Linked DNA regions of Bombyx mori. The protein of the gene in region 4 binds, or shares a complex with, the protein of the main gene of each other region. Links are inferred from orthologs where the notes say so. Each region holds a gene or a part of one and is shown on either strand. Other genes may lie near its edges.

Region 1 (7,724 bases), on a different chromosome or scaffold from region 4:
TACACTGCTATGTACAAAGACACATATAATTTCGGCCCTTTAGGTTAATTTTAATTTTTGTGGTCAGTAATTTAATACTTTAGCCCAAATCAAGTATTCAATATTTTTAAGTATTCGTCGAGTTAGGAACAGTTATTTAGCGAGGCAAGACGTGTTGTTTGTGAAGAGTGTGTCGATCTTTTCTCAGATATTGAGAACATTTGGTCGCCTTTAATTTATTATTTTTCTGACAATGAAGAATTGTAACCTGTGCAAGATCCAATTCAGTGATGGTGTTCAATGCGGTACGTGCAAGAAGCATTTTGACTTCGGATGCGCTAATATTACAGAAGCTGGATATAGAAAACTGGGCCCCGAAAGAAGGGCGGCATGGAAGTGTTCTGCTTGCAGAAACCCTTCGCAAGCGGTTGCTTCACAGGCCAGCCCAGTCTCTCCAGTTCAGGGCTTAGTGACGCTAGAAATGATCCACGCTGAATTATGCGGCGTAAATTGACTTAGCTTGTGTCTTATTATTACTTTTTGTATTCTGTATTAGTTTCTATAGTAAATTTTTGTTGCAAATTCACGTGTCACTGAACGTAGGTTATGTACACTTATTAATTATAATCGTGGTCCAAATGTTTACAACACATGTTGTTATTCACTGGCCGGCGCCTCGCCTTTTGCCGCTATTGTTCTCATATCTCGTTGCTTGTCTGTTTGAGGTTGTCATTACTGACATATATTTGAATTGCTTTCACGAATGTATTGCATATCTGCTGCTTATTAACGCTGATCTAGAGTGTCAGGGGTTTTTTGGTACTTGTTATATTCTTCGACTATTTTTATACTACCTACAATTTAATTTAATTTACTATTTTCACTTTTACTATTTAATTTTAATGTCTAGAAATTACCACAGCGTAATATTAATTTTACTTACTATGTTATTAACTATTTTCTTACAATGGACAATGAATCAGTCCTGAATAGTATTCATATCTACTACCAAAATGTTCGTGGACTTCGGACGAAAGTTCTTGAGTTTAGCCGTAACCTGCTATTGTGTTCTTATGATGTGATTATTTTAACTGAGACTTGGTTGACTGATGGCATCTTAGATAGCGAATTATTTAATGAACATTATACAGTTTGGCGTAGGGATAGGAACAGTGACCTTACGGGTCAATCTCGGGGTGGCGGTGTTTTGATTGCGACTCGTAAAGATTTAAAAGTTAGTTTGCAGCCGTCATTTAACTCATCGGTTGAAGATTTGTGGGTTACACTCATCGTTAAGTTGAAACGTGAAACTATTAAACTGCATATATGTGTATTATACTTATGCAAACAGGGTTCTAAGTTATCTTTCTCTGAACAATTAACTAATTATCTTACGAAACTCACCAACATTGTTTTGGATAATTCACTTGATAAATTCCTACTTGTTGGTGATTTTAATCTGAGCGGCATTACGTGGCTGCCGTCTAATCTTGGTTACTTTACACCTTATAATGCTCGTAGTAGTGATGAATTATTGCTTGTGGATGAAATGCATGTTCACGACTTTGCTCAGTACAATGGGATAACTAATAAGGATGATAGGATTCTGGATCTAGTATTTTCAAATGAATCATTGGTTGTGAGTAAGTGTGTTGATCCAATGGTCCCGATTGATCCGTATCATGAGGCTCTTTGTATTACGTTCAAATGTATTGAACTTGTAACTCTAAGAACTGCACCGCGCACTAACTATCGATTCAATAAAGGTGATTATTTGTCAATTAATAGAGAGCTTAATAATATTGACTGGTGTGTTGAGTTTCAGTCAAGATCTTTGGAGGGCTGTACTGATTATTTTTATGAGACAGTTAACGACCTCAAAGAGAGATATGTACCATCTCGCGTAACTGGCTCTGATCATTACCCAGTCTGGTATTCAGCTGCTCTTAAAAAAGCTATCAAAGAAAAATATAAATATAAACGTAAATATTCAAACTATGGAAATAAATCTGATCTAAACTCTTTTAATGTGCTTCGGGACAGGGTTAGAGTACTGGAAACTAATTGTTACAATGATTATATTGACTCTCTTGAAATTTCAATAGGAAATGATCCTAAAAAGTTCTGGTCCTACGTTAAATCAAAGTCTAAGTGTAATTCAATGCCAGGATCTGTCTCGTATAACAATGTGATCTCAAGTTCGGCTGAGGGAGTCTGCAGTGCATTTTCTAACTATTTCCAATCTACTTTTCTTGACTGTGATATCTCTGTTAATCTGACACCTAGAATAGCCGATGAGCATTTCACCGCAACTTCTCACTTAAACAACATCTACTTGGACCAAGCCGAAATACATAAGTTAATTCTTAATCTTGATCTATCTAAATCAGCTGGTCCAGACCAGTTGCCTGCCAGATTTATCGTTGGTTGCTCTGATGGCATAGTTTTGCCAATATACCTTCTTTTTAAGCGTTCTTTACATGAGTGCACTGTTCCAGCAATATGGAAATCGGCCTTTATTAGCCCAGTACATAAGAAAGGCTCTAAGTTCGAGGTTACCAATTACAGACCAATTTCCAAACTTTGTATTATTTCAAAAATATTTGAACGTGTTATTTATACTCAAGTATACGCGGCATTGCAAAATGTATTTAATTCAACTCAGCATGGATTTCTAAAAAATAAATCGACTGTTTCTAATTTAGTTATCTTAAATGATTATCTTACTGATGCCATGCATAGTGGTAAACAGGTTGATGTAATTTATACAGATTATAGCAAGGCGTTTGACAAAATTAACCATTCTATTCTGATTTCAAAGCTACAGAACGTAGGAATCTGTGGCGACTTATTACGATGGTTTATATCATATCTTGAGAAGAGATCGCAAGCAGTCGTGATCAACAATTATATTTCTGCTTGGGTACCTATTCCCAGTGGCGTACCTCAGGGTTCGTTACTGGGGCCCTTGCTTTTTATTATTTTCATTAACGACATCACTAAGTGCTTTCAATTCTCACGCCTTCTCTGCTTCGCTGATGACATGAAAATTTTTATGAAGGTTGCTTCCATCAATGATGCCAAGTTAATGCAATCTGATTTAGATCGTCTTTGTCATTATTGTTTACTAAACAAACTTGATCTTAATCCAACTAAATGTCATGTTGTTACTTACACTCGAAAAATCAACCAAATAGCCTACAAGTATAAACTAAATGAACATGAACTAATTAAACTTAATAGTACACGTGACTTAGGTATTGTTCATGACAGCAAACTCACATTCGATGAACACGTTAACTCTATAGTGACTAAAGCCTCCAAAATGCTTGGATTTGTTATGCGTAACTCTCAACATTTTCGTAAAGCTAAAACTATTAAAATACTATACTGTACTTTTGTTCGCAGTCACTTAGAATACGCTTCACAAGTTTGGAATCCTCAATATAATATCTATATAGAACGAATTGAAAGAATTCAGCGTAAATTTATAAAGTACCTTTGTTTTAAATTAAATATTGCCTATAACTCTAATAATTATGATAACCTTTGTAAAAAACATCATCTACTTCCTCTTTACTTGCGGCGTGGGGTTTCCGACATTATATATTATTTAAAGATCGTTAAAGGTTTGGTGGATTGCCCGGAGCTCTTATCCAAAGTTGGCTTCAATGCACAGAGAATATCTTTAAGGCATCGAAATCTAATTTCTTTGCCACTAGCTTCCACTAACTATAGGCAAAACTCATTCTTTTTACGTGTTGGTGGTGACCTCAACAGACTTGGCAGGTTCTTAGATATTGACCCATTTTATTCCTCTATCACAGGACTTAGACGTCAGCTTAGTGCCCGATTTTTCGTGGGCGATGAGGGGGCAGAGGGTGCGGGGCCATGTGCCGGTGACGTGTAGCACAACAGTTTTTAATTAATTTGTGACATTTATACATAAGTGTACATTTAAATTAGTCTGGTGTTTTCCTCCATTCCTTATGTTGTTTCTTGCTTGCTGAATGTTTTTAATTTTTTTTTGTTTCTATGCTTTTGTTTCTCTAGTGTTTTTAATTTGTTTATATTGGTGAGAACCTTTAATTGGCTTTTTGTTTCTATTATTTGTTATATTATTATACTTTGTTAGTTGGCTGTTGGTTCTCCTTGTATTAAATAAATAAATAAATAAAGTATTTCCTCGTGATATGTGACTACGGTTGTTTGGAACAGCTCCGCGTGGTGGGGCTGGCGCTGGCGGGGCTGAGCGAGGAGCGGCTGTGGCGTGAGGCGCTGGCGGCCGGCGCCTCCGCCCTGCCCGACGCCTACCTGCGTGGGCTGCTGCACTTCCTGGCGGCCTCCGCCCCCGCGCCGCCCGCCCTGCACGCGCCCTCCGCGCCGCCCGACCTGTCCGCCGTGCTCGTCAGTATATTGTGACGTAACGCGACCCGCTCCCCCAACCCGCTTGCCCTTGATGCGTCCCTTAAACGTCACTTGAAGTATCACGTCTATCGCAGTGAGAGAATTCAATTTAAAGTAACAACTAACGCTTGTGGGGAGCGTACATTAGGTGCCACTATCCCGCCGGTCACATGTTCAGGTTTGGAGGACGGGGCAGCCGTTGTACCATATCATATAGACTCCGAGTTCAAGTCTCAAGGGGGCTCGCATCCTCGTTGCGAACTCTGGGCTTTGGTAATCACTTATCATTAGTGATTCATTAATGTAATAAACAAATCTGGCAACAATATAAGAGTTATGACAACACAATTAAAATAACCATTTCTTAACATTTTCGTAACATAATACGGATTAAAAACAATCGAGTACCATCTGCCCCGCGGCGCCGCCCGCAGAACGAGACGGAGATGCGGCTGGAGGACCGCGTGGCCTTCGCCTGCATGTTCCTGTCGGACGGCAAGCTGCACGAGTACGTGCGACACACGGCCGACGCGCTCGTGCAGCGCGGGGACCTGTCCGGCGTGCTGCTCACCGGTGAGGGACGGGCTGCCCACCCCGGCGATGTGCTCGGTACACGTGTGTTACACTGCGCGGTGTTGTGGTCCAGGGGCCGGCGCGGAGGGCGCGGCGCTGCTGCAGCACTGGCTGGACGCGAGCGGCGACGTGCAGAGTGCCGCCCTGCTGGCCGCGCGCTGCTTCACGCCGGAGCTGCTGGCCCTGCCGCACGTGCAGCACTGGCTCGACAGGTACCGCGCCCTGCCCCACACCGACCCACATCAACTATCATAGTATCATAGATTTTTACTAATTGATTGAACATTTCTACGGCTTGACCCCACCGCTAGCAAAAGAGGCATTAAATTGTGATTTGTATATACCTAATTCAATACGTAGACGCGCCGTGCGTTCATGGTAGTGTCAAATTATTTTATTACATTCTTGTATAACAGTGCACTTGTAGTGCGCGCGGAAACGCTGGTCATCTCCTGAGGTATGTAGCGGGGTGAGACGGGGGAGAGCGCGATTGACAAGACGCACACGATATTATATTAAGTGCAGATAAATCTCAGAATAACATATTAGAATTAATGTAATGGGTGCCTAATTCTAATATTGTATTTTTCTATTTCCTGGTTAAACAAAAAATGCATATTCAAAAGTGTTTATTATATTTTATTACGAAACAAAACAATTTTATAAGCAAATGAACATTTCTTAAAAAGAAAAAAAAAAAACTATCACCATTATAGTACATTATAAAAAAATAATTATTTATTTATCTATTTTGATTTTTTTACCAACAAAAATTTATGAATTTTCCATCGTAATACCCCCATGTCGAAATCATCAATGTAGATTCTCTTTTTTATTTTTTTAGGTTTTCATGGAGAAGTAAATTTTGATTTTTCCGATGTTTGCCGATTCGAATTTACTTCAGCTACAATTCTAATTACGGTCTGAGAAAAAAAATTGTGCACATTGTAAATTACATTTTACACTGATCGTGTTATTGGTGGACCCATCTTAGGATATTTTATCTCGTGTATGTTTGGAACAAACTGGCAAGAACAACTGTATCGTACAACCGCCGCGGTGGTCGACGGCAGACTGAGTTAGCTTGACGTTTGTCTACCTCGCCCGCCCTGCCGCTCGCATACAGCAGGCGGTGACTAGCCCTTCCGCGCACACTATAGTTAATGGAAAATTTGGTTTTCATTTATTGAACAGTTTTACAGTTTGACCCCACCGTTAGCAACAGGGACATTAAAGTGGTACCCGCAAAATATGTGAATGTGTGGAATCATTTATGCTGTCGACCTTGCGTCGACGTCTCCAGAAGACTGCATATACGGGCGCCGGTGACCACTTAACATCAGATGGGCTCACAAAAAAGAGTTTATAATTTTCTCAGTCACAAGCGATTATTGGAGCAGACGGGTAGGACAGGCTGCCGCACCGCGTGCTCGGTGTCGTGCGCGGGCTGTCGAGGACTATAGACTCGTTGAGACAGGACGGCACTCCGGCAGCAGCAGTGCAGTCTTGTGAAGAGAGTAATGCGAAGTGTTGTGTGTAACGGGCAGCTACCGCGGGCTGCTGGACGGCTGGCGGCTGTGGTGGGCTCGCTGCGCGCTGGACACGTGGGTGTGCGGGGGCAGCGCCGCGGCCGCCGTGCGCCACGTGTGCGTGGCCTGCACCTACTGCGGCAAGTCCGTGGCGGCGGCCGCGGGGGCCCGGCCTCGCCCGCCGCTCGCGCGCCTTCCGCCGCCCGCCGCCAAGATGAAGGTAAATACAACATTCCCCCGCGACCTACATACTTCATATAGTGATGAAATGCTACGTTACCGGTACCTCCGCCCCCCCCCCCCCCTGCCGCGAAGTAGTAATACGTTCCGATTCGAAGAGTGGGGTAGCAGTTCTACTATAGAACTGAACTTCACAACTCATATCTCAAGCTGGGTGGCGGCATCTTTGTTATTGATGTCTATGGGTTCAGAAACACTCGTGAGCAATGAGAAAAAAAAACGTTAACTTCTTATATTAATTAGTTATAAACATTTTAAATCAATTATTGTCAATCCCAAATCAAAAAACCCAGATCGAACTTATAACTATTGTTAACGAGGCTTCTTGAAATTACACGCGGCAGCAAATTGTTTGTTATGGCCGCGCGTGTTTTTTTCTTAAATCACGGAGGCTTCTTGGTGATGGACGCGCCAACAAAATTGTATGAAGTGGGCGCGCGTGATCGCACGGCCGGTCGGCGGCGGAATGAAATGGCGCGCGTCCCGCGGCACGTGGAGGGGGGGGGGGGCGGCAGCGCCTCGTTCGTTAACAACTATCGTTTAAGGCTTCGTCAAACAGAACACGTTCTTAACGCGGCGTTTTAACGTCGCGCTCTTTTCATGTCACACAAATTGACTAGACGAGCCCAACGCTCCTTGACGCAACATAACGCCAAATTATAGTGCCTTTCGATAGCAGTGTGAAAATTAAAAAGTTTCAAGATGTCGAGTGATTCAGATGTGGCATTGTATAAACATGGATATTTCCTAACTAATTCTATCAATTTTTCGGGCATTATCCAGTATTTTAATATACATTCACTCGGACGCTAAAATAAAATTTGTAAAAAATTACAATGCCTGACGTCAAAGCGTCCTAACGCCGCGACAGAGCTTTGCGTACTGCTAGCGCTGGGGCTCTGTTTGACGGTATGTTACCATAGTAGTAGTACAGCACATCTCGGCGTCATAGCGTAGCGCTCTGATGCGCGCTAATTACGCGTTCTGTTTGACGAA
Region 2 (8,437 bases), on a different chromosome or scaffold from region 4:
ACTATTCCATTCAAAATACTTAGAGGTCACGAAGATGAAGTTAGAAAGGTTACTTTCCAACCTTTGCGAAAGATGGCCTTCTCAGCTGAAATCAGCCTGCGAGAAGATACTGAATGTCTTTCGCCAACTAAAGTACACTCCCCGGTCCGTACAAGAACTTCGGATATGTTTTTCATAAGCGACACACCCCCAAAAAATAATCTCGAAATATCTAATCAAGGTGATGCCAAAGCAGATTCATTTCTTGTCATGATGGGACTGGATAAATCGAACAATGATTTTGATGATGAAGGCAGTAAGTCTTTGGACCATGAAAGGAAAAGTGATAGGCACGAAGCAAGGTATCGCCAGTTGGACGCTGAAAAGAACATTAGTAAGATATCTACTCCTTTAACTAGCAGAACGATGGATAACTTAGTGTTTCCATCCCCTTTACCTTCCAACGGACTTGCCGAAGAAGCTCGGATATCAAATACAAATCTACCAATCAAACATTCTAGTTCTACTCCTTGCGTTGACGTAATGGAGAATAAATCCTTAGATGAATTAAAAGATTTTATTAAACTTACACTGACCGACGTCGCAGATGACAATAGAAATTATTTCCTGCACATCATGATGGCTCTGACAAAACAAAAATTATATTTAGAGAAACAACTGTCCAATATGAATGAGCAGATTCAGAATCTAACCTACAACCAAGACGTTTTAGTTGAGACAAACAGAAAACTGGCTTTAGAAATTGATCAATTAAAAAAGAGAACTAGCTTTAATAAAACTTAGAAAGTTCCAGGTGTACTTATAAAGTTTTGGAGCTCTAATTTATTTTAAGCAAAAGTACATCAAACTTCATAATACAATATAGGAAGTTTGAAGAACTTTAGCTAAACTTACACACACTTATTATTATTTACAATTATTTATATTACACAATTGTTATTTAACAGGTTCATACTACGGTTTTCACATTTCACGAGTTGTCGATATTTCGGCGTGTTGCAAGCGTCACGGTCAGGCATAGACTGAAGATTGCGGGTAGGATGTTAGGAGCAAAACAAAAAGTAAAGTAGACATTACTTATGAAAATACCAAAAAAAAAGTAAACATTTTTTTGCCAAATTAATAGTAGGATTAACATTGAAGTTATTTCTGCTGACTGCGAATTCATTTATAAACGCTTGTAGCATCATTTTAGTAATTTTTATGTCTCCTTTTATGCCATTGAGCTGGGTAAGGGATCTGATGGTATTAAGCGTTGATCGTCGTCCATTGCACTATGAGAAAGTCGTCTAGCGGCTGTGCAGTCTTTTAGGCGACCGGAAATAGGATGGCAATACCAATGCGTCCCCACAATACATCAGTATCTACCGGTATAGGCGCGTCACTCAATACGAATAAGTTTTGTCCCTAAAAGAACTGATTTTCAGAACCATTCGAATTCATTTTAAGTTTGTTAGGACCTATTAACAGACGTTACACTGTAGCGTCTCTAAGCGATGCCTGCCACTTATTATCAGCTGAGCTGCAATCTCAATTGCCATATTTTATAAAAAATTAATGAAATGTTGTTGACTTTTCATAATCCTAGGTAGAATATTTTTAAAACTGTAAAATAATAATTGAAAGACATTTTGTTAATTTTAATATACTTATACACATATAAATAATAGTTGTGCCAAATTTAATACCGTTCGTAAAATTACGGACTTAAAAATTTCCAATATTTAAATTATTTTTTGTCTCTTTCGTTGTGTTTGTAATGTAAATTAAATAAAGTAAATTTGTAATAAATATTCCGGCATCAATACCTAATAGTATAGGGTCCTTAGGAACGGATTCTTTGTAAGTAATTTAAAAATAATAAACATAACATATTTTCAACTCCTCTTTTTATTTAACAAATGTTAAATATTATCATTGAACACTTAAAGTGTGTAGTAAATTAAAAAAAAATACGTAATTGTCTATTTGACAAATTGGTCAAGTTATTGGAGATCTGTTTAATGAAAATTATCACACTCATAATTAGTTAATCATATACAAATTTTGCATCTATCTAAATTGTTCTGTTTTCGTGTTTATTTTGACAATAATGTTAATAATTGATGTATTTTTGTGTATGAATTTGTTATATTTATAAATAATATTAGCTTCCTTGTTAATCTATGTAATTAAATTAGCTAGTACACTACTAATTTTATTAAATGCCTATAATTTTTAATTGTTTTTTTTTTCAAAGTATATCATGAGCCTTTTCACACATCTATAGATCTTAGTGTAGGAATGGTAGGTAATAAATACGACATCGATGTTGGGAGAAAAACATGGTAAGGCGGGTACTAACGTCTAACGAAAGACCACTGTTATTTACAGCATTGGTCTTCCGTCGTGTGGGGTACGAACTGCTTGAATTGCTTCCCTTTTATAAATTATATATTATAAATTATTATTATCTATGCTGTTTTCATTCATGGACTGAGGCTCTTTAACAAGTTTTCCCAAGTTACCACAAGTTTCTCCCATTTAATCTACATGGGTGCCACTCCGGGAAGGACCGCTTAATTGCTGGGGATGAGATTAAATCCTTTATCGATATCCTGTAAAACAATTGTGGTGACCTAAAGAATAAGATGGACAGACAGACACAAATGAACGAGTTTTTGGCGGAAACGCCAGGACCGAAGTTGTGTGTATTGTTTTTTATTTAATTTAGTGTTTCTTCAGGCTTAAAGGCTTCGTCAAACAGAAAGCGTAATTAGTGCGCGTCAGAGCGCTACGCTATGACGCCGAGATGTGTTGTACTACTATACTATGAGCGCTATAGCGCTGGCGCTCTGTTTGACGGTATAATACCGTAGTAGTACAATACATCTCGGCGTCATAGCGCGGCGTTAGTTTAGCGCTCTGACGCGCGCTAAGTACGCGTTCTGTTTGACGAAGGCTTAAACGTGTAGTAATGGTGCTTTAATTACTGTTTTGCATCCGTAAAAGCGCATGTGGGAAAATGAAACAGTCGCTTGACATGGCTTTTCGGACTCTTCCAAAAAGTCCACTAAAGTCTCTTTAAATAACTGTCATTTTACTGTGACTTTATTTCATCCCATCTCACCTCATTTTATTTAATTTCATCCATATAATCTTTCCCTTTACGTTGTTTTTCATTTAACAGAATATAAAAAAAAATTGTCTGTATGAAGTGATACTTTCGCCTTTCATATTGAAAAATGGAATTATTACTGTCATTAATGTCATTTTCTGTTAATTTGAGGTTATAAATTGGGATTAATGTAACGGAAAAAACACTGTTAGTTCATAATAACAATGAGTGAAAACATAGCTACGAACCTTTTCGAGGCCCAAACGATACATGCCGATCACAAAGACCTTATTCACGATGTCGCGTACGACTTCTACGGGGAGAGAATGGCCACTTGTTCCAGTGATCAATACGTAAAGGTACATTCTTTATATTATTTTTAATTAGAGTACGTACCTTTGTTTTACGTACGTATAGTTGTAAAACGTGGTAAAATGAAATTTTTTTAGTCTTCTGGTAATTCACGAAAGCTTTGTTGCTTCGTAGTAATAAGCAATCGTGAAAGTTAATAATTTGGAATATGTTATTTTTTATCTTAGATATGGGACACAGACGGGCATGGAGGCTGGCGGATGACAGCGAGCTGGAAGGCTCATCACGGCTCTGTTTGGAAAGTTACATGGGCCCACCCAGAGTTTGGACAGGTCATTGCGACTTGCTCCTTTGATAGAACAGCTGCTATTTGGGAGGAAGTGGGTATGTGGAACCATTTGTTCATACCATTTAGCATTAAATTTATTACTTTTTCTAGATGAGTTGTTTTATAATATATTTTATGTATAATTAGCTGACCTGGCAGACTTCGTAGTGCCTCAATCAATAAATAAACTAAACTTTTGTATAAAATAAACCTAAAACAAAAAAAGGAATCCTTCCGGCGGGGGACATATTAAAGGAAAACAAAATTGTTATTTTTATTTAATTCTGAGCATTTTTATATTTAGCTACCTTTTAAACTTTCTCTGGACCTCTACAAATAATACAATACCAAAATTAGCCAAATCGGTCCAACCATTCTCGAGTTTTAGCGAGACGAACGAACAGCAATTCATTTTTATATATATAGATTATAGTATATTCTTGTAAGTTTTAGCCACAATTTACCCATTTTTTGCAGAATGTAAGGTGTAGGGTGCCTGCTTTTCATAGTTTTGCATCATGGTACATTCAATGTACTTCTGAAAGCTTTCATTAGTTTTTTGTGTTTGGGTAGACAGACTGAGATCTTAGATCCCATATCACTTAACATGAGGTGGGCTGTGAGCTCGTCCACCCACCTAAGCAATAAAAAAATTACATTCTAGGAAACCTAGCTTGGAAGTTGCAAAATAATATAAATTTTAACAGACATAAAGTGTGAAAAACTGTGACCAAAGAATGGCCTATTTAGTCATCACTAGCACCATCACTAGTCATGCAGAGATATACACAAGCCAAGTGCAGAATAGTAGGAGTATATAGTTCAAAATGATTGGTTCAAATAAATATGTATTCAATATTGTATTCAGGTGACACCACAGCAACAGGCTCTGAAAAGAGTTTACGTACATGGCTGAAGCGGTCAAACCTCGTTGATTCAAGAACTTCAGTAACAGATGTTAAATTTGGACCTAAACATTTAGGTCTACTACTAGTTACATGCTCAGCTGATGGCATTATAAGGTATTATGTTGATCCATAACACTACACATCAGTAAAACCTCCTGGTACTACTTATTTCAAGCATAAACTGATAGCTACTACCACCCTGCCTATTTCTGCAATGAAACAGTCTCGTTTTCTAATTTGTAGGCTGTTTTACTAGATGGTTAAGAATTTGGGTCTAAATGTGAGTGATGATTTATGTAACAATATTGGCAGCTACTAATGTAATCTAAGCTGTAAGCATTACCTGGTTTTCTACATTTTCAACAATTAAATTCAGCTAATTACCATTTTTCATTTGAATTAATTCTGTGTCGTTCTAGATAAATAGTTGACCTCAGAATCCACATAAGGCTATGTTGTTACTGGTATAGCAATACTGCTCTTCATCTTCTCACTTTAATCTGTTTGAAGCGAAAACAACATTCTGTTTGATTTACAGAATATATGAGGCTCCGGATGTGATGAATTTGGCACAATGGACCCTCCAGCACGAGATACCGACGAAAGTTTCAATTAGTTGTTTATCATGGAACCCTTCATTGTCTAGGTAGGTATGTATTTTTATTATAATTGGATGTAGCAAATAGCCCATCTGATCGTAACTGGATATAGTCACTTATGGACAACAAGTAGTCAACAACAACAGTCAACAACAACAACAACAATAATAACGTGTAGTCAACAAAGAGCTCTTTTAAGTCCCCAGATACTCATAAAACAGCAGGGAATTTAGTTTAGAGGTTGAAAGTGAGAGTAAGAGAGAGTTTTTGGGAGCAAATTGTGTTTTTACTGTGTAAAATAAAACTGTTCTGTTGGCTTGTATTAGTGACTTTTTTATAATATCTTCAATATTGCATTTTTTTTCTAGGGTAGGAAACCCACCAATGTTGGCAGTAGGCAGCGATGAACCTAACACAACAAATGCCTTAGCATCAGTACCATCTGATAAGAGCACAGCTTGTAATGGAAAAGTTTTTATTTATGAGTAAGTATTAATTTATATGTTGTAATCCATGTATTAAATATACACTTTTACTTTTATATGTAAATATCTAAAATACTTATTACTTGAAATAATGATAATTCTAGACAGTGACTTGGATGTGCCCCTGCCATTGACAATGTCTACTGTTAGCAGTGATTTAAAACTATCAGTTTTTGTATTGTATTTGTAGTGAATGTAAACATTTGGCTTCATTCATTTACTTGATAGATTTGCAAATTTTTATAGTTGTCTATAGCCCAGGGAAGATTTTTGTCATAGTTTGGAGAGTATACGACAAAAGGAAGATATTCAACCGAGCGGGTGACAGACAGTCCGAATGTTGATGTTCAGAACTTGTATATATGCAAGTTCCATTCCCGATCCTGCGGACAGAATGGAAAGCAGTCGACGTCGCCCCAAACACGTCATTTCGGATCCTCCCGATCCACTAACGGTGCTTTTAGGTACCTCAAGCACCGGTCATTGTTCTCGTCGAACCCGTCGCTTGCGACGAAGGGCTCGACGAGTAAATTAACCCTCAGACACAGCCCACTGAGTTTCTCGCCGGATCTTCTCAGTGGGTCGCGTTTCCGATCCGGTGGTAGATTCTGCGAAGCACGGCTCTTGCTAGGGTTCGTGTTAGCAACGTCATCAGGTTTCAGCCCCGTGAGCTCACCTACTAGTTAAGGCGAAGCTGATATAGCCTCTCAAGGCTATCAGATTAGGTGGGAAAAAATAAATAAATATGCAGGCTTATCTTGAAAATGTCGTAAGCCAGATTCAGGCATCTAGCAAATATCTTGTGTTCTGTGATGGCTACCCGCCACAATGGTACCGCTGTGTACGTAATAAAAACTCTTATGAAGCTAAACAAAAAAAATTAATTAAATTTGTGTTCAGATACAGTGAAACGTCTCGTCGTTGGACGCGAACGGACTGTCTGTCATCCGTCCAGGAGCCGGTCAACGACCTCGCCTTCGCTCCGAACCTCGGCCGCTCGTTCCATCTCCTCGCCGTAGCCGCCAAGGACCTGAGAATCATTAAAATCGAACCACTTTCGTGAGTACTTTATTATCTTGTCATTGACATGACTACAGATGATGCAAAGTGTAAAATTTCCGTTAAAATTCACAGAAGGGCCGGTAAGCATATCGACGCTTGAAAGGCAAACGTGACTAAGCGACAATAACTGCTTTGTACATAAATGATAGGCAATAACCGTATTCAATGCGCAAAAAATATATATTACTAGGTCTATTAAAATAATTTCAATCCTACAGCTAGATTCGTTAAAATAGATTTTTTTTCAGGTATTTCAACTTTAAATTAGTCTACTGTAAAGTTCACGCATTGTCGCTTAGTCATGTTTGCCTTTCAAGCGTCGATATGATGATAAGGTACCGTTTGAAAAATATGGTTCATTTCTGCGGCACTATAAACAGAACACCAGCCCGATGGTCAGATCTGGTTCAGAAAGTGGTTGGTGGTAGTGAGAAAGAGAGAGAGAGAAAGAGAGAGAGAGAAAGAGAGAGAGAGAAAGAGAGAGAGAGAAAGAGAGAGAGAGAAAGAGAGAGAGAGAAAGAGAGAGAGAGAAAGAGAGAGAGAGAAAGAGAGAGAGAGAAAGAGAGAGAGAAAGAGAGAGCGAGAAAGAGAGAGAGAGAGAAAGAGAGAGAGAGAAAGAGAGAGAGAGAAAGAGAGAGAGAGAAAGAGAGAGAAAGAGAGAGAGAGAATACACTTTATTGCACACCAAAACACAATTTACATTAAAAAACGGTCAAAAAGCAGATAGATTTGTAACAATAGGCTAAAATCGATCTCTTCGAGACAATCGTTTAACTTAGAGAAATTCTGGAAAATATAAAAATATAGCAGGTATGTTAGTCTATAACCATGCGGTCCATGTCATCTACGACCAAACACTATGGAGGAAAGTAACATGTGGTCACGATCTTTAGCGGTGAGGGAACGATGAAGACAGAATAAATATTGCATTACTTTTGAGCACTTTTTTTATTGCATAGATAGGTGGACGAGCTCACAGCCCACCTGGGGTTAAGTAGTTACCGGAGCCCATAGACATCTACAACGTAAATGCGCCACCCACCTTGAGATATAAGTTCTAAGGTCTCAAGTATAGTTACAGCGGCTGCCCCACACTTCAAACCGAAACGCATTACTGCTTCACGACAGAAATAGGCGGAGTGGTGGTACCTACCCGTGCGGACTCACAAGAGGTCCTACCACCAGTAAAACTTCATTACGTGTATTCTATTTAGTTTGCATTCGTTGGAATATAACATTTAAATTATTATTGTGACGTCACAGTGAATCGTCTATCTCCGCGAACGGTTTGGGCGTGCGGTTCAAGAGTGAAGTAATGGCGGCCTTCGACGAGCACTACTCGTGCGTGTGGAGGGTGTCGTGGAACCCCACCGGGACTCTGCTGGCCTCGTCGGGGGACGACAGCTGCGTCAGACTATGGAATAGTAAGGAATGATAATAACCATGTCAATTGTTCAGTATAATTAAATTTTACTCGATTTCATATCTATTCCAGATGTATAGTTTCCTAAGATATATTCTTCGATCATCGAATGTAGAGTTGTAAACGAATGGTATGATATCAAGTAGTTTTTAAGGATGGGACAACCATTGCAATACAATTGAGAGTTAGACCTCCTTGGGTCAATAAGTGAAATGTTCACTTT
Region 3 (8,233 bases), on a different chromosome or scaffold from region 4:
TATGGGAGAAGCTTGAAAAAGTGTCCGACTTTCAGCACTAAATAACGATTCAAAAATCCTCCAGAATGACGCTAGCATAGGCACAGGGTATGGTATGAATTGAGCAGTTTTTAACTGATTGTAGTATGCTGAGTTAGGAAATTTAATGTATTTAGTGACAATGTAATATACAAGACCTCACATGTTTACGTAGTCTAAACGAATTTCGTCAATATAACCTAAAATTATTGCTGTGGTAAAACATGGAGACATCGATTGCATTTTCTTATCAGCTTTAAATAAAATACTTTTTGTGATTTTGTAGTGCTTACAGTTCTTTCGTCCTTTTTTATTTCTCTATGTTATTCTGATAACTTTCAGCGCCTTTTTTAAAATTTACCCGGTTGCTACAGTAGCGCCACCCTTATTTAGCACACACAGCGTCGGTTCTCCTTACCTCTACCCTCCATGCACCCAGTATAGATGTGACAAACACCTGACAGATGACGCTGGTGCGGCGCAACCTGCTCCGTCTGATCGGCGTGGGCGAGTTCAGCAGCGCGGCGGAGTGGCGCGAGCCGTGCGCCGCGTGCGTGCTGACCGAGCTCACGTGCCGCGTGTGCAACCACTGCCGCGACCTCGACCTGTGCAGGGACGCGCGAGACGACACGGAACGGTAACCTTTTTTTTTTCGGGCCTGGGCCGAACCTCCTACGATGGTATGTGGGACTTGACGATCTGCAAAGTGTTGGGAGCAGACCGCGGGCCCAAGGAATTTTAGGGCCCTACCGCACTAAACGACTCCCCTGCACTCTTACACCCGACGTCCGATCTCCGTCCGGGGTCAGAACCCGGTCAGAGTAGGAGGGTTCCCGCGGTCAACACTACAACCAGATACGCGACGCTACCCCGAGGACGCCCGACCGACGGGTCGTCGAGGCGATAGTCGACGGAACGGTAACCGACCCAACCCCGCACCAACCACGATTCAGTGATAATTCAAATAACCTGTTTTAGTAATAATTCGAAAGAGTTTATGCTCGTATGCCAGTCTGCCTACAAGGGCAATAAAAAAAATTCAGCGAATGATGAATTTAAATCGATTTGAATCGAATCGAATTTTAGCCGAGAACACTAATTTATTGAAGTGAAACTTCTTTAGGTACGTTAAAAGTAAAATTTAACTCTCTACAGATTTACGGCTAGAAAGATACAGATTTTAGGAACAGCGAGATTGAGAAAATAGATAGCGTCTGGTGAACCACTCGACTCGGTGGAGAGAGGGAAACGGCAAAGGCGAAAGTTCCTATTACACTATCACTATTACAAGAGAAAGATTTAAGAATGAAAAATGAAGAAAATCACAATACCACACAACACAAAAGAAGTTTCACTTCTTTCACGTGCACCAAGTTGCACGCGTACCATTTTTATTATTTTTATTAATGAATATTAGATTAAATAGTAAACAATGTTTTTGAGAATAATTAAGTGACCAATCATCTGGCCAAACATGTGTTTTGTAGATTATGAGAGAGCTGAAATTTCAGTATTTCTAAAGCACGTGTAGAACATTGTGTTATGTTTATTTTCAGTCCGGCGTGTTTATGTCCAACTTGTGGAACAGCATATGATAATCAGGAAATAGAATGGCGACTAATCGAGACGATGAACAAACGTACGATGGCGTATACGCTGCAAGATCTTATATGTAGCCGATGTCACCAGGTATTAATAATTAAATATTACACATTCATTGTTCGAGTATGCACACCCGGCACCCACCATTATCGATGTAAGTTTTAAGGCTGCCCAGACGTAACAGCGCCTAATAAGTATGTTAGCACTATAGGAAACACTGCAATGGAGTGTTAATTATTTCAATCCCACTTCGATAAAGCGGCACGACACGAGAACCCTCTCATCGTGGCCGCCGGTAACTACATTCCCGATCCTGCGGACAGAATGGAAAGCCGTCGACGTCGCCTAAAACACGTCATCTCGGATCCTCCCGATCCACTAACGGTGCTTCTAGGTACTTCAAGCACCGGTCACCGTTCTCGTCGAACCCGTCGCTTGCGACGAAGGGCTCGACGAGTAAATTAACTCTCAGACACAGCCCACTGAGTTTCTCGCCGGATCTTCTCAGTGGGTCGCGTTTCCGATCCGGTGGTAGATTCTGCGAAGCACGGCTCTTGCTAGGGTTCGTGTTAGCAACGTCATCAGGTTTGAGCCCCGTGAGCTCACCTACAAAAGTTAGGGTTACGCTGATATAGCCTCTCAAGGCTCTCAGCTTAGGTAGGGAAAAAAAAAAAAAAAAAGAAAAAAAAAATTTCAATTATTCTGTGACTAAGCTAAATCGAAATACCCCATAGCCACATCACAAAATGACTAAATGAGGAAGCCCATCTCAAAAGCTCATTATTTTTAATATTTTACTACAATAATACTATTTTCATAGAATAATTAATTTTTAATGATGGTGTGTAAAAGTCAACTACAGCTTTCTATTAAACCTCCTTTAGTAAGAAATAACATTCTTTAGCACTCCGAGTAAGAAGTTGATGTGGTTCTTTAAAGGAAGAAATAAAGGAATGTATACCTTATGGGATTGTGAGCAGACTGCATATACATATATAAAGACTAGGAAAAAATGTTTGGTTACTTGCGGAATTTGAATCTATGTATATTTCTTCCAGGTAAAACGTGAGAATTTGTCTGTGGTCTGTGATTGTGCTGGAGATTTTTCGCTGATGGTTCCCGTAACAGAGATCAAAGACCAACTAATGACTTTTAAGACAATAGCCGAATATTATCAGATGCCATTATTGTTAGAACAAATTGACTTTAATCTTAAAAACATGTGATAGTTTGTATTTTAAGTATAATTTTTTTTATATATATTATGTCCCTTTGTTTTATTTCTATTGTCACAAACAATTAAGACAAGAACCCAAATATTTTTACCTATTCTAGTTATTCTGGCGACATATGGCAACATACTTTCCAAGGTGAAAAGTACATTTCTCTAATTTTTATTTCCATGTCAAGTATACATGTGAACTTTTCTCTTTAAACTAAAAATATCTCTTTAAATTCTATAAAATATACTATCAAATTGAAAATTATTGTGTACATTGACAATAGTGACTTCATCTCCTCAGCCCATGTTCAATACATACAGTAATAATAATCATAGCAATTTATTTAAAACCTGTTAGATATGTCACAACCCAATTATTGGATTATCAAATTGAATATATAGATTAAATCTGGGTTTTGATGAAGTTTATAAAAGATCAGTGTTAATGTACATATTTTATATTACTATTAGCAGATTACAAAATTAACAAATGAAATTAAAAGCAAATTCAAAGTGTGCTTCTTTCATCATTGGGTGTTTGGCCCAAACCTTTGGCAACTTCACTAATACATAACCACTGGCCATCAGTGCTCTCACGCCAAAGGCTGACTTTGTTATCTCCTCCTGATACAGCCAAGATGTTGCCAGTGAGAGACCAGCTAACACTCCATACTACATCATCAAATGTGTTTAATATTGTTGGTGTCCAAGATACATTATCATCACTAGACCATATGACAACCCTCTTGTCTTGGGAGCAGCTGGCAATCATGGAACGTTGTAATCCCAGAGAGGGTGCCCACGCTACATCTCTGACCCAATCAATGTGCAACTCTAATCTGTTCTCTTCAACCCATTGATCACCTTGCTCTCTCCAAATCTGAAAACAACAACCGGAATAACTAACTAAAAAAATTATAATTAAGAAGCATTATGATGTCATTAAATAGTAATCATTAAATACAGGGTTTATTAAGAACATATCGATAATAAAGGACAAGGTAATTTTAGGTAGATATATTAAAAAAATTCAACTAATTATTGTTGAAATATATCTATTTTCATTTAAAATTAACTAATGCATGCAATATATGATATTGTGAAAAGAAAAATTGCTGCCTTCTTTTTTTGCCTTATAAATAAATAACCCGGAATAAATCACACACATTCATCTGGCCCCAAATCAGGATTCTCTGTGGCGCAACAGTTAGGAGTGCTAACTACTGTAATACAGAGTCAGTAAACAATTAAACACAACTTGTAACATACCTTGATTAAATTATCACACCCTCCAGTAACTAATCTCTTTGGAGCATCTTTATTGGTAAGCGGATCTAAGTTCAAATCTGCAGATAAAGCTGGGCACCAACTAATAGAATTAACACCAATGGCATGTGCACCCGTTATCTTTTTTACGTCCCAATTACCAGTATCTTGTGAATATTGTATGATAGAGATTGAGCCATCTGAACTACAACAAGCGAGGATTAAGCCGTACTCAGCCGGCGCCCACGCAACAGAGTTCACAGAGCTTTCGTGTCCAGTGTATTCGTATAGTTTAGTCCACTCTCCAGACTCTTTCCATATGATAACTTTCCTGTCATAAGAGCATGACGCTAATAGGTTCCCATACTTGGGATGAGCCCAAGCTACCTGCCACACGGGGCCAAAATGACCCTTCAAATCAGCAGCCAATGTTTGTGTACCATTCTTAATGTCGTATATTTTCACTGAATTATCCGAAGAACATGTAGCTAGTTTTAGTCCGTAATAATCCAGTTCGGCGTCGTGTATCATATCTTCATGGCCGGTATCAATAGTATTCAAAACAGTGATCATTATTATATATTTTTATTAACCTACACAATACACAACGGAAAATGGGCAATCAACTGTCAAATCAGTTGACGTGGAATTTCAACAGTGCTACCAGTAAAATATTTTGTATCCATCCACACGAGCTATTTCGACATTGCAAAGACAGTCGCAGTGCGTCACCTCTAAACTTATTAGGTAAGTTTAACAATATAATAATAAAAAGTGGCAGAATTAAATTGCAGCTTCAACATACGCGACGCTACAACTGAATTATTCTTTTTATCAATTTTGTTATGGAAGCTAGAGATTTTCTTGATGATTCGAGATTATTGATCACATAGCTCCAACACAGTCTACAAAAAAGCACAAATATTTTAGTGCCAGAATGCCGCTCGTGTGTTAGAGGTCATAAATTACCTCTTTGGTATTATTTGTTAACCTTAGGTTAGCACAATCTTTGGTTAAGTTATTTATTTCTTTATTACTTTTTGCGCGTTACTTATGAAGTATCTCCCAAAAGTTTTAAGCATTTATATTTATAGCTAAACCTAAACTGTATGAAGATACTTTTATTGACATATCAAGACTAGGCCTCAAAAAAATTAAAAAATCTATGCTTTATGTAAGTAATAACCAAAGATTAAACACTGTGTCAGGTTACATTTGGTAGTTAACCAAAGATAATAAAGAGCTCTAGTAGAATCAAACAAAAATTCTGACAAGTCTGAAGCTGTTTTTTCTCTCATTCATCTAAATTCAGAATTGGATTGAAAATATTGATGAGCTAATTTACGAAAGTTTAAGAAATTATGAGAATTTCGTATCTGTAGACATCAAAATGTCTCAAAAAGAAGGAGGAATATTTTACAACATGCAATATTTATTACAACAAGATTATCGCGGGGTTAACGTATGTAGATAATTACAAGTTGATGTTGATAATAATAACTTTGTAAACGAAGCACTATCATCTGATTGTTGTTTACAGATAGCAGTATATGCTCTAGCCACCGCTGGTCTCGCCATATCTGTTCATAAGATTCGCCCTGTAAGTATTTGTTTAAAAAACCCTATATTAATAATTACATAACTATAAATAATAAAATTACTTCGATAGGTTAGCAAGTTTTCGAAAGCCAGTAAAGTTCCAGATCATTTCATCAGAAATCATGAACCTTTGAAAGGATTATATGCTGGAGTGCAACATTCACCAGTTCGTGTTCTGGTCAATCACAAAGCCCCAATATATTTACCGCTATGGCATTCCAGTAAACCTCCACTACCAGTTAAGGTAAATGTGATAAAAATATAACTTGTACGAAAATTTACCTACAAAGTAATAAAAATATTTTCTTTTTGTTTTGTTTTAGCTGTGGGGAATTGAAGTAGTTAGTGGGAATGCAGTCAATTGGCTGGAATGTGTTGCTAGGGGCCAGCAAGTGACATTAAAGCCAATCGGAAGAGATAATGATGATCTAGTTTCTACTGTATTATTGCATTTACCTCAGCCTAAGGTATATTTCAATTTAAACAAATTCAACAAAATACCTTAAATTATTAAAAATTACTCTTCAAAAATGTTTTCCATTTCAGAGTAAAGATGTTCAAACATTGGATATTGGTAAAAAATTGGTGGAGCTTGGATTTGCAAAAGCATCATTTCCTAAAGAATTAAAAAAGAATACCATTGAGTCACAAATTGCCCCTGCTCTATTATCAGCAGAAGCACAAGCAAAAAGCCTCAGAAACGGCATTTGGTCTGAGAATCTCCCACCAATTCCAGCATATATCGTTTATTGGAGAAAAGGTTCACAGCTTACTTTGGAGTTATTTGTATTGACAGCCAAGAAGTTACTGCAACTGTTAAAATTTACCACCAAAAGTGCTTTAATAGGAACAAAGAATTTAATATTAATTCCATTCAGGTCAAAACCTAAACAAGTACAAACATCATGAAATGAAAAACATTCGTATAAAGTCTAGTTCAGAAAAGAACCAAATGAGTTATTACAATTATAATTATTCGGTTTCTCTTCAAAACTAGTGATGTTCCTTCCATTTATATAGTGAAATAAATTATCTTTGTATACATTTAATGTTGGTAAATAAAAATTACTAATTCGTTACTTAAATTGGAATTTTATTGAAACAAAATAGATTTATGTAAAAAAAGCTCTTTATTCAAATTAAATAGTGTACATTTTATATTACATTAAAATATATATATATAATATATAATCTTAATTTAAAAAGTAGCAAAAGATAAAGTACAGCTAAAATAATCTATTGAAATAATATCCTTTTACCATTAAAATTGATATGAACATAACACCGTGAAATTTTAAGTTTTTAAATACAAAATCAAATTACAAACCGATTACAGATAATTTAATGCACAATACTGTTTATTTATTTTCAAAGACGAAATTAAGTATGTATTCGTAGTCTTGGATATAAAAATACAAAAGCAAGTCTCATCCCCGCAGGAGGTCAACGCACCGTCAAGTAAAGTAGGTAGAAAAATATAGTCAAGGTGGGCAGTTCAAAGTACCACAATGTTAGAATAGGGCTGGGGCGGGGGTCGTAGTGTGCAGACGGGGTCAAAGCACGCTGCAACGCGACAGCCACGTCACCGGCTTGCGAGCGTCGTTCAGCGTCGGCTTGTGGACGCCACTCCTACCGCCCGACGGATTACTCGCTTCCTATTATCAGAACAACAATTTAGCATATTTCCACTAATAACATTAACGAACAATCGTGATCTATATGTTACGGTAATGCCGGCCACTCACATGCGGGCAAATATTCGTACATAGTACGAATGTTTGCGCGCATGTGAAGGGCCGTCAAACATTCATTCGCAAACTTAGCGGCTGTGCAAATGGGTTCGGTACTCAATTTGCGAACCCGTTTGCGCATCCTCTTACACTTGTTCACGAATATCTCACGAATTTATCCTCCTTTTTAATTCGTCAATAGAACATTGAAGAGAAAAAGAGTTTTGAATTTTTTCCCAGACATCATTAACAGCCATGCTGTTTTTATGGGATTTCTTTTGATGAAGATACGCTACACAGTAGACGTCACGAACTATGAAAATGGCGATACTTCCGTTACCTCCGCAATCGTCGACGCAACTGGGCAAACGAATGTGTGTGAGACTACGCGAAGGTTCGCGGTTCGCGCGCTTTGATGTCTGTTAAAAAACCGACACAGCTTGGAAAACCACGAATGCAGCGAAAACTTTGCATAATCATTTGCAAAATTAAATGTCGTCCTACACTTGCGGGTTTGCGTATTCGTGCGCATGTGAGTGACCGGTGTAAAAGTACATATTGCGGCAAATGTACACATTTAACGGTAAATGTGCACAATTGCCTCCTCGTTTGGGTAATGTACATTCAACTAACATTTACAATTTCAAAGAAGGGAAATGTACATTGAATTCACAATGACCATGTCGTTTTGGTAAAATATGTGAGCGTGGCATACAAAATACAAAATCGCCATTGCCAGTAAGTGTACATTTCCCAAGAGTGTACATTTACCGTAACATATATAATATATTAGTTG
Region 4 (7,673 bases):
TCTGTCACTATCACCAAAAAGTTTATAACTATTCAATATTCAAGTCTATTTCTGTATAACCCCTATTTTTAAGGCTGTAATTTGAATCTATGGTCTCAAAACAAGCATGCTCACAAGGCCGAGCACAAATGAGAAGACTAGCTTAAGATTGGCACCAATATGAAGCCAGTCAGGCCACTGTGACTTTACCGCTTGTTCCGGTTGTGTTGGTAATAGCAATGCAGCTATACAACATATACTCACTGCTACTGCTACCATGTTTGTTGGTTGATGCTCCCTGAAATAAATTTATTACAGAAAAGTTTATTTTGTTGTTTAAAATTTTGTTTACAACTTGTAAACATTAAAACAGTGAGTAAACTAATATAGTACTATACAATGTAGATTATTTCTTTAATGGCATTGTCTTCTGTAATAGGTTATTTTTTTCTTTTAACTGACTGCTGAAGGAGGTGATGTTTTTAATTAAATGTTAAAAACCTAACAATTTAATATGGTCAAAAAACTTGTTTACCTGTGGTGTCCTGTATGATTACATGAGATTTTTGTATGATCCTCAGTAGGTCTAATTGGTGCAGCTCTGGATGCTATTGGATGAAAGTTTTCACCAAAACTTTCTTGGTTCGTACTTGATGGTTCACCTTCAATAAGTTTGGTTGGAATGTCTCTTTTTCCCAGAGCCTGAACAGAGTATATAAAATACCTATTTATTTGTTGGAAAATGGTTATAAGTTAATTGTATATTCAATTTAGAAATAATAGTAACAACTGATATGGTTTCTATAGTCTAGTTATGTCCTTGTATTAAATTTCAAATTTTATAATAAATTGTGGTTAATTGATATAGCCAGAATTCCAACCCAACAATACGAAATAATATAATCTCCAACTAAAGTAAAAATTTAAGTGAACTTCCCTGGTTTTTATAAATGATATATTGGATGCTTAAATGTGCAGTTTGTAAATTTATAAATGTCTTTCAATTGTGGTACTGAATGCTGAAGGAAACTTATATGTCACGCAGATTGTAAAAATGTTACGTGTCTGTCCTTGAAATCAAAATTTGAATTCCCCAGTAACCTAGTTTAATAAGCTATGCAACAGCCTACCTATACAAATTATCACAGAAAAGTCAAAAGTACAGGCTATAAAAGAGAAGGCTCAATCAGCTGAAGACCAAATATTTGTTGCTGGTCAATACACAAGCTCCAACTTACTGTTCAAATGTATGTACAACCAATTATTAATTTCTACTGTAAAATTTGATGTGATATGTTATAAACAGTAAAACAGCCATTCATAAATTAGTTATTGAGACTTTAATTTTGTATTTCCTCTGTATTATACTACCTACTGGTAGTAGAATTCTTATTCTATGATTTTTATACCGCCCAAAGGGCTGTTTATGTATTTATATTAATAAAAAATACTTTAGATAAAATAACATTAATATTGGGATGAATAATTTTGTTACTAATTACCTGCTGAGTATTTCTGTCAAACATAGTTATTCTGAATTTTTCTATTGTGTCGCAATGTGAAACAGATGGTTGTGTGTAACGTACGACAATATCAATACAGCTTTGTGGAGCGATCACACCCTCTGGGTCGATGACTGTAAACTTGTTTGGTGACGTACATAATACTGAAATTAAAAAGAACCACGTTACGATAAAAAGCTATTCAAAGAATCCGCACAAAAAATATACGAATTTCTCACCTTTGAAATTTACAGAGAAATCATAAGGATTGTAAACAGTTAACAACTGTTTATGAGTGTGTCTGGCGTTAAGGTAAAATTCTAAGGAAACAGGAAATACAAACACTGGAAAATTTTTCATATTTCATAGAAAGTTTACTTTTCTATTTTCTCAGGAAAACAATAAGCCAATATGTATTATGTACGTAATATCAACAATAACAAATTTCGTCGACTCGTAAAATTGCACAGATTTTGACAGTTACGTTTACGTATTTGACGTTTGTCATTTTAGTTGTTTGATTCGTCCATTGGGTAAGCAAAGGCAATTTATAGCGCAAACAATTTTTTTTTTTTAACAAAAGCCTTTTGTACGAAATGGGGAATGGAATGGAATTTAATGAGGTTAGTTAGTACAAAACTGTAGGTGCTATATGAAATGAAATAATGGAAACTTTCAAGCTCAATGAACTCAATCGTGTTTTTAGACCTCGACGTCCGACCTGTTCATATTTCCTCACTAGAGCAGTTTTATGGGTGGTAAATAATCAATAAGCCACCAATTGCTCGTGTGAACCAGAAGTAATATGAAATTAACAAAAAAATAAAAATATAAAGAGGCTTAACCGTCAAAAAGCACTTGGTTATTTTAGATAGTAGTATTGGTTACATTTATGCTGTGCACGAAAACCAAAAGTTAAACAGGTTGTATAATTAAGTAAACTTGTTACATAGTTTATGTAGTAGTGGTAAGTAAAATTAAACTTTACAACAATCGTCCGTAACCACGAAAACTGTTCGAACATTAAGATGAAAATAAAAACGCGAGATAAGATCATAGTTTTAATTATTTCCACGACTGGTGAAAACCGAAGAAAATATTAAATCTGTTACCAACGAACGAGATTGGTAGTGCTTTCGCCAAAATACGTATCACTTTGATCCTCTGTGAAAAGCACAGCTGTTCTTTCAAAGCGAAAGATCTCCTTTTACAGACGCAGGAACATATGAAGCCTTCACTCTGATTACTTTTTTTGGCCAATTTTCGTTTAGGGTAGGAAGGTCGAGTATCAGGGAGTCATCCTAGGTATCTCCATAGTCTTCAGAGCTCACTCTGTATGAGACCGCCATAGCACCACATTCCTCCTCGCCAGACTACCCAGTAATCTACAAGTGCAGTAAATTGTCCTTTCTAAAGTGACATTTTGCAAAACTTACCTCAGGTTGAGCCTGTGAGCTCACCTACCGGTCTGTGAGTAGTCGGAATAGCCTCTTATACTATCAGCGATTGGGAAAAAACTTGCATTCCCCCTGAATATAACGCGATCTGTGCTGATTGATTCAAGTGATCCACTTTTACTTTCAGAAATGAAATATGGACTAACAAAAAAAAACAAATTTACAAAGTATGTAATTGTTTATTTTATAAATATATTTGTTTCAGAACATTTTTTAGATTAGCTGAATAACTTAGATGGGATAATGGAGTAGCTCGATATAAGGTTAATGTAAGTTATGGTACAGAAAGTAGTAATGTAGGTTATGGTACAGAAATTCAACTTGACTGGTGCCTATTAAAACGTATCTGGCATATTATATACAGGCTATTATACACAACTATACTCGCGTTTGAAGACAAATGTACCGTTAGGGAACAATACATTTTCTGGATAACAAATATTCTTTTATCGGGGGTAGGGAATACGTACAAAATGTCATTACGATCGGTTGAGTAGTTAAAGACTTGAAAGTGACTCGAACGAAACCTCAATTTTTAACATCAGTTAATTTACACGTTTCAATCTACCAATCACAAAACGCTTCTAACACAGAAGAGTTTGCTGTAACTGATTTTCAAATTTTTATTTAATTATGAATAATGAGATTTTACTTCTGAATGATTCAAAATTTTCATCTTACAAAGATAAGATTGGTAAAGTAAGGTTTTTATAGAGTACAGTGGGTAAGTACAAATAATAATCATCATTGAGTTGGATAATGTATTCGAAACGAAAATTTCACTCGTAGGCATTTACTGTTTTGAAATATATCTTTAATACAGTATAAATAATTTACATTTTATTAGGAACTGGAAACTAAGACTAAAACATAAAACGGTACAGCCTCGGTTTTTCAAAAACACCTAAGTTGGTGTCACTAGACATCCACTTTTTTTAAACATGGTGTTGTCAACCCGAGTTCTCGAACGAGATTGCACAATTTTAATAAATAAAAAATATATGTATAATTTAACGTAAATTCTATTGAGCTAAAGTTCATAAAACACAATAAATAAGATTAGGATGAGTTTTGATTGACGCATTATTAGGATGATATAATTTTATTTAAAAAAAAAAATAAGAATTTATGGCCAGCATATCAATATTTTATGAAGAACAAACAGAACATTTCACTTTCATCATCATCATCATTTCAGCCTATCGCCGTCCACTGCTGAACATAGGCCTCTCCAATAGATTTCCAGTGCGACCGGCCCATTGCCACCTGCATCCAACGAGACCCAGCGCTTTTTACTAGGTCGTCGGTCCATCTAGTAGGTGGCCGTCCCACACTGCGCTTGCCAGTACGTGGTCGCCACTCCAGGATCTTTCTGCCCCATCGACCGTCCTCTCTTCGTGCTATGTGGCCGGCCCATTGCCACTTCAGTTCACTAATTCTACGGGCTATGTCAGCAACCTTCGTTCTTCTACGGATCTCCTCATTTCGGATTTGATCACGTAGAGAAATGCCGAGCATAGCCCTCTCCATAGCTCGCTGCGCGACTTTGAGCCTTCTAAAAAGATCCCTAGTGAAGCACCACGTCTCCGAGCCGTAAGTCATCACTGGTAACACACATTGGTTGTACACCTTTGTCTTAAGGCACTGAGGTATTTTGGACGAGAAGACGTTGTGCAGTTTACCGAACGCTGCCCAGCCGAGTTGGATCCGTCTACTGACCTCTCTCTCAAAGTTGGACCTACCTAATCGGACTGCCTGTCCTAGGTATATATATTCGTCAACAACTTCACTTTACATAAATAGAATTTTACTAAACGGTGAGAAACCGGCCTACAAACATAGTTCACCTTGGTCAGTACTGTAGCAGCCCTCAATGTGTTCTAATGGACAGACTGACAGATATATTTTTTTGCACGTAGAACATTTTAAAAAAAAAACAAACTGGAATCTTATTGTCTTCGAAGGCAACTAACAGGGGATTGCAACTAAAGTATGTTGGATTGCTTTACATTGCATCAATAAAAAAATAGATTTTAAAGATCGAGAAACGAGAAAGAACTCTTTGAATAAATAACATTTTTAGCATGGTGATTATAAACGAAATTTCTTTTGGAGATCAGAGGCTATGATCGCTTTAGTACCTTTGGGGCATTAAATTCATAAATAATCGACGACCAGTAAAAATTAAAAACACAAGCGTTCGTACTGTTTCTTCTCATTGTCTATGTCTTCGTACGTCTTAGATTCGATCGATCGAGTCGAACCATGGTACAACTTATTGGGAGTTCACGGAATGTTTATGTCATGGTATCATCAACGTGGAACAGCTGACGTGACTAGTGGCTCTACACAAATGACTTTGTTGTTCATCATGAAAAGTAATCAGTCAACTCAGTATCGACAGTGTGTAAACTACATAATCATTTATTAGTCTTTCATCATTCTTGGAACTCGGTAGAAGCATTACTTTGTACTGTTTCTTGTTGTAAATTGAGCATGATTGACATATTAGGTTTAATCAAAGTTTAATGGGTATATCCATTATTTTATATTCCCACATGCACTGGCATCATCTACAGAGGGCAATATGTAAGGTCTAATTATATATTGTATACGTCACTGATTACAAGACTGAAGATAACGTATGACCGTGAAGTAGAGACTGGCAGCTCAATGTTTTCGACTTGTCATTTTATCATATTGAGCTATACGATTACAAATAAAAATTTACATTTTCGCAATTATGCTCAAAGGCTTTAGAATACAATCACTTTGCTTGCTTCGGCGTACGCCTATTGATATGGATAGAGCATAGCCACAGCGGGATCTTCTGTTTCAAAGGTGATGAGTACATCTTTGAATTTGTCTAGAAGCTGCATTAGCTGTGAACGACTGACGTTCTCCATAAACATGATCTCTTCTAAATGCTGCTCGCCGCGGAAATAGCCTGAAAACAAAATATTATACTAATAAATTTAAAAATGTAATAAAATATTAAATAGCAGATGCAATGAACACTATTACATTCCAAATGAAGGTAGATAAAGCTCGTTTATGATTTTTTTTTAATTGGGCATCCTAAATTTGATATTCTAATCTATTTTATTTTATTATCCTCCTCCTCGCGTCGTTTCCTCACTGCTGAGAGTCGTGACCATTATAATTCGACATGACTTTACTCCTTGTGATGTCCCGCCAGCGCCTCCGATCATTGGCCGCATGAAGGGCGTCGTGGAATTTTATTATAACTATACGAAATAAATCATAATATGATAATGTTTACATTTGATTATTTGCGTAATTACAGATTGTAGGAAGTACTTCCCACATAGGTCAGTACTCCCATTGTGCCTGTTTCAGTAGCGAAGCAGTAATGCGTTCCGGTTTGAAGGGTGAGAAACCGTTATACTATACAAATTTAGATTTAGACCTATATTGTCTCGACATCTGCTCGGCTGTGAGTTCTTAAATTCTATGTAATAAATAAAACTGATTCGGCTGTTATAGTTGTTTCACACTATCTGTGTTGCACGTCGGTTATTTTATGCCAGGAACTTTTATTAGAGGTTTCAACTTTATCGGTACTCGCTAGGCAATGGCTGACGTCCATGGGCGACGATAACCACTCACCGTCAGGTGGGCCGTATGTTTGCTTACATGGGCAGAAAAAAAAATGAATTAGCGAAAATAGGAAAGCACTTTTTTTATTTTTATTGCTTTGATGGGTGGACGAGCTCACAACCCACCTGGTGTTAAGTGGTTACTGGAGCTCATAGCCATCTTCAATGTAAATGCGTCACCCACCTTGAGATATAAGTTCTAAGGTCTCAGTATAGTTACAACGGCTGCCCCGCCCTTCAAACCAAAACGCATTACTGCTTCACGGCAGAAATAGGCAGGGTGGTGGTACCTACCCGTGCGGACTCACAAGTGTTCCTACCACCAGTAAATAAACCATATAACGTTAAGCGTCACTAAGGTTTCTGAAATGTTATGATAACCTTTCTTATGTAGCTGGGCTAGCAGCAGTAAGTCGTCAGTGTTGTTCGAGGCGGGAATGTGGGACAATACGGTTCGCTCCTCTGCCGTGAACGTGTGCAGTAGGGACTCGGTGGACTCCGGCTCGGCGGGCGCTCGGCACGCGTCGGTGACGTCACAGCTGGCCGACCCGCCCCACACCGTCGGCGGCTGGAAACTGGGAAACATCGGTCTTATTTCTATACTGAGCCGGTACGGGAAGCTCACAGTTCATCTAGTGTTAAGTGGTTACCGTGACGCATAAAGATCAAGAAAGTAAATACCGTCACTTGAGACATAAGTTTTAAGTCTCAGTTTTATAGTACAACTTCGTTCCACCTGTCAGGCGGGCTTACAAGACGCCCTACAACCAGCAACAGAGAATCTACACAAAACCATAAGATTGTTTGGCATGTAAGCCTCTTACGTTGCGCTCAAGGGCCTTGTTAACCATTCAATGAAGTCGTCGTGGCCTAAAGGATAAGACGTCCGGTGCATTCGTGTTGAGCGATGCACCGGTGTTCGAATCTCAGGCGGATACTAATTTTTGTAATGAAACACGTACTCAACAAAAGTTCACGGTTGACTTCCACGGTTAAGGAATAACATCGTGTAATAAAAATGAAACCGCAAAATTATAATGTGCGTAATTATGGGTGGTAGGACCTCTTGTGAGTCCGCGCGGGTAGGTACCTTCACCTCGCCTATTTCTGCCATG

What was found.
Region 1: GATOR complex protein NPRL3 (region 4) and GATOR2 complex protein MIOS share a complex: the UniProt entries of both Drosophila melanogaster proteins name them as parts of the GATOR complex. The link is inferred for Bombyx mori from reciprocal best matches to the Drosophila melanogaster genes Nprl3 and mio.
Region 2: GATOR complex protein NPRL3 (region 4) and sec13-like protein share a complex: the UniProt entries of both Drosophila melanogaster proteins name them as parts of the GATOR complex. The link is inferred for Bombyx mori from reciprocal best matches to the Drosophila melanogaster genes Nprl3 and Nup44A.
Region 3: GATOR complex protein NPRL3 (region 4) and protein SEC13 homolog share a complex: the UniProt entries of both Drosophila melanogaster proteins name them as parts of the GATOR complex. The link is inferred for Bombyx mori from reciprocal best matches to the Drosophila melanogaster genes Nprl3 and Sec13.

What each region holds. Positions count from the first base shown.
Region 1 is NC_085114.1:15,837,466-15,845,189, reverse strand, and holds part of GATOR2 complex protein MIOS, read left to right. Parts: intron 1-4,197; coding exon 4,198-4,386; intron 4,387-4,820; coding exon 4,821-4,959; intron 4,960-5,032; coding exon 5,033-5,171; intron 5,172-6,506; coding exon 6,507-6,708; intron 6,709-7,724. UniProt on the Drosophila melanogaster protein: An essential component of the GATOR subcomplex GATOR2 which functions as an activator of the amino acid-sensing branch of the mTORC1 signaling pathway.
Region 2 is NC_085125.1:13,429,635-13,438,071, forward strand, and holds the start of sec13-like protein, read left to right. Parts: upstream 1-3,274; 5' UTR 3,275-3,321; coding exon 3,322-3,456; intron 3,457-3,636; coding exon 3,637-3,793; intron 3,794-4,605; coding exon 4,606-4,759; intron 4,760-5,183; coding exon 5,184-5,291; intron 5,292-5,612; coding exon 5,613-5,729; intron 5,730-6,629; coding exon 6,630-6,788; intron 6,789-8,054; coding exon 8,055-8,215; intron 8,216-8,437. Other genes in the region: uncharacterized protein LOC101745951, read left to right, coding at 1-783. UniProt on the Drosophila melanogaster protein: Probable component of the nuclear pore complex (NPC). Involved in maintaining the localization of another nucleoporin Mgtor to the nuclear envelope of early meiotic female germline cells.
Region 3 is NC_085131.1:3,990,968-3,999,200, forward strand, and holds protein SEC13 homolog, read right to left. Parts: upstream 5,499-8,233; 5' UTR 4,682-5,498; coding exon 4,112-4,681; intron 3,723-4,111; coding exon 3,351-3,722; 3' UTR 3,285-3,350; downstream 1-3,284. Other genes in the region: DNA polymerase epsilon catalytic subunit 1, read left to right, coding at 483-655, 1,575-1,707, 2,679-2,846; uncharacterized protein LOC101741756, read left to right, coding at 5,499-5,570, 5,649-5,708, 5,778-5,951, 6,031-6,174, 6,254-6,616; small GTP binding protein RAB8, read right to left, coding at 7,261-7,362. UniProt on the Drosophila melanogaster protein: Functions as a component of the nuclear pore complex (NPC) and the COPII coat. At the endoplasmic reticulum, SEC13 is involved in the biogenesis of COPII-coated vesicles.
Region 4 is NC_085124.1:9,497,334-9,505,006, forward strand, and holds the end of GATOR complex protein NPRL3, read right to left. Parts: intron 7,134-7,673; coding exon 6,940-7,133; intron 5,886-6,939; coding exon 5,731-5,885; 3' UTR 3,098-5,730; downstream 1-3,097. UniProt on the Drosophila melanogaster protein: An essential component of the GATOR subcomplex GATOR1 which functions as an inhibitor of the amino acid-sensing branch of the TORC1 signaling pathway.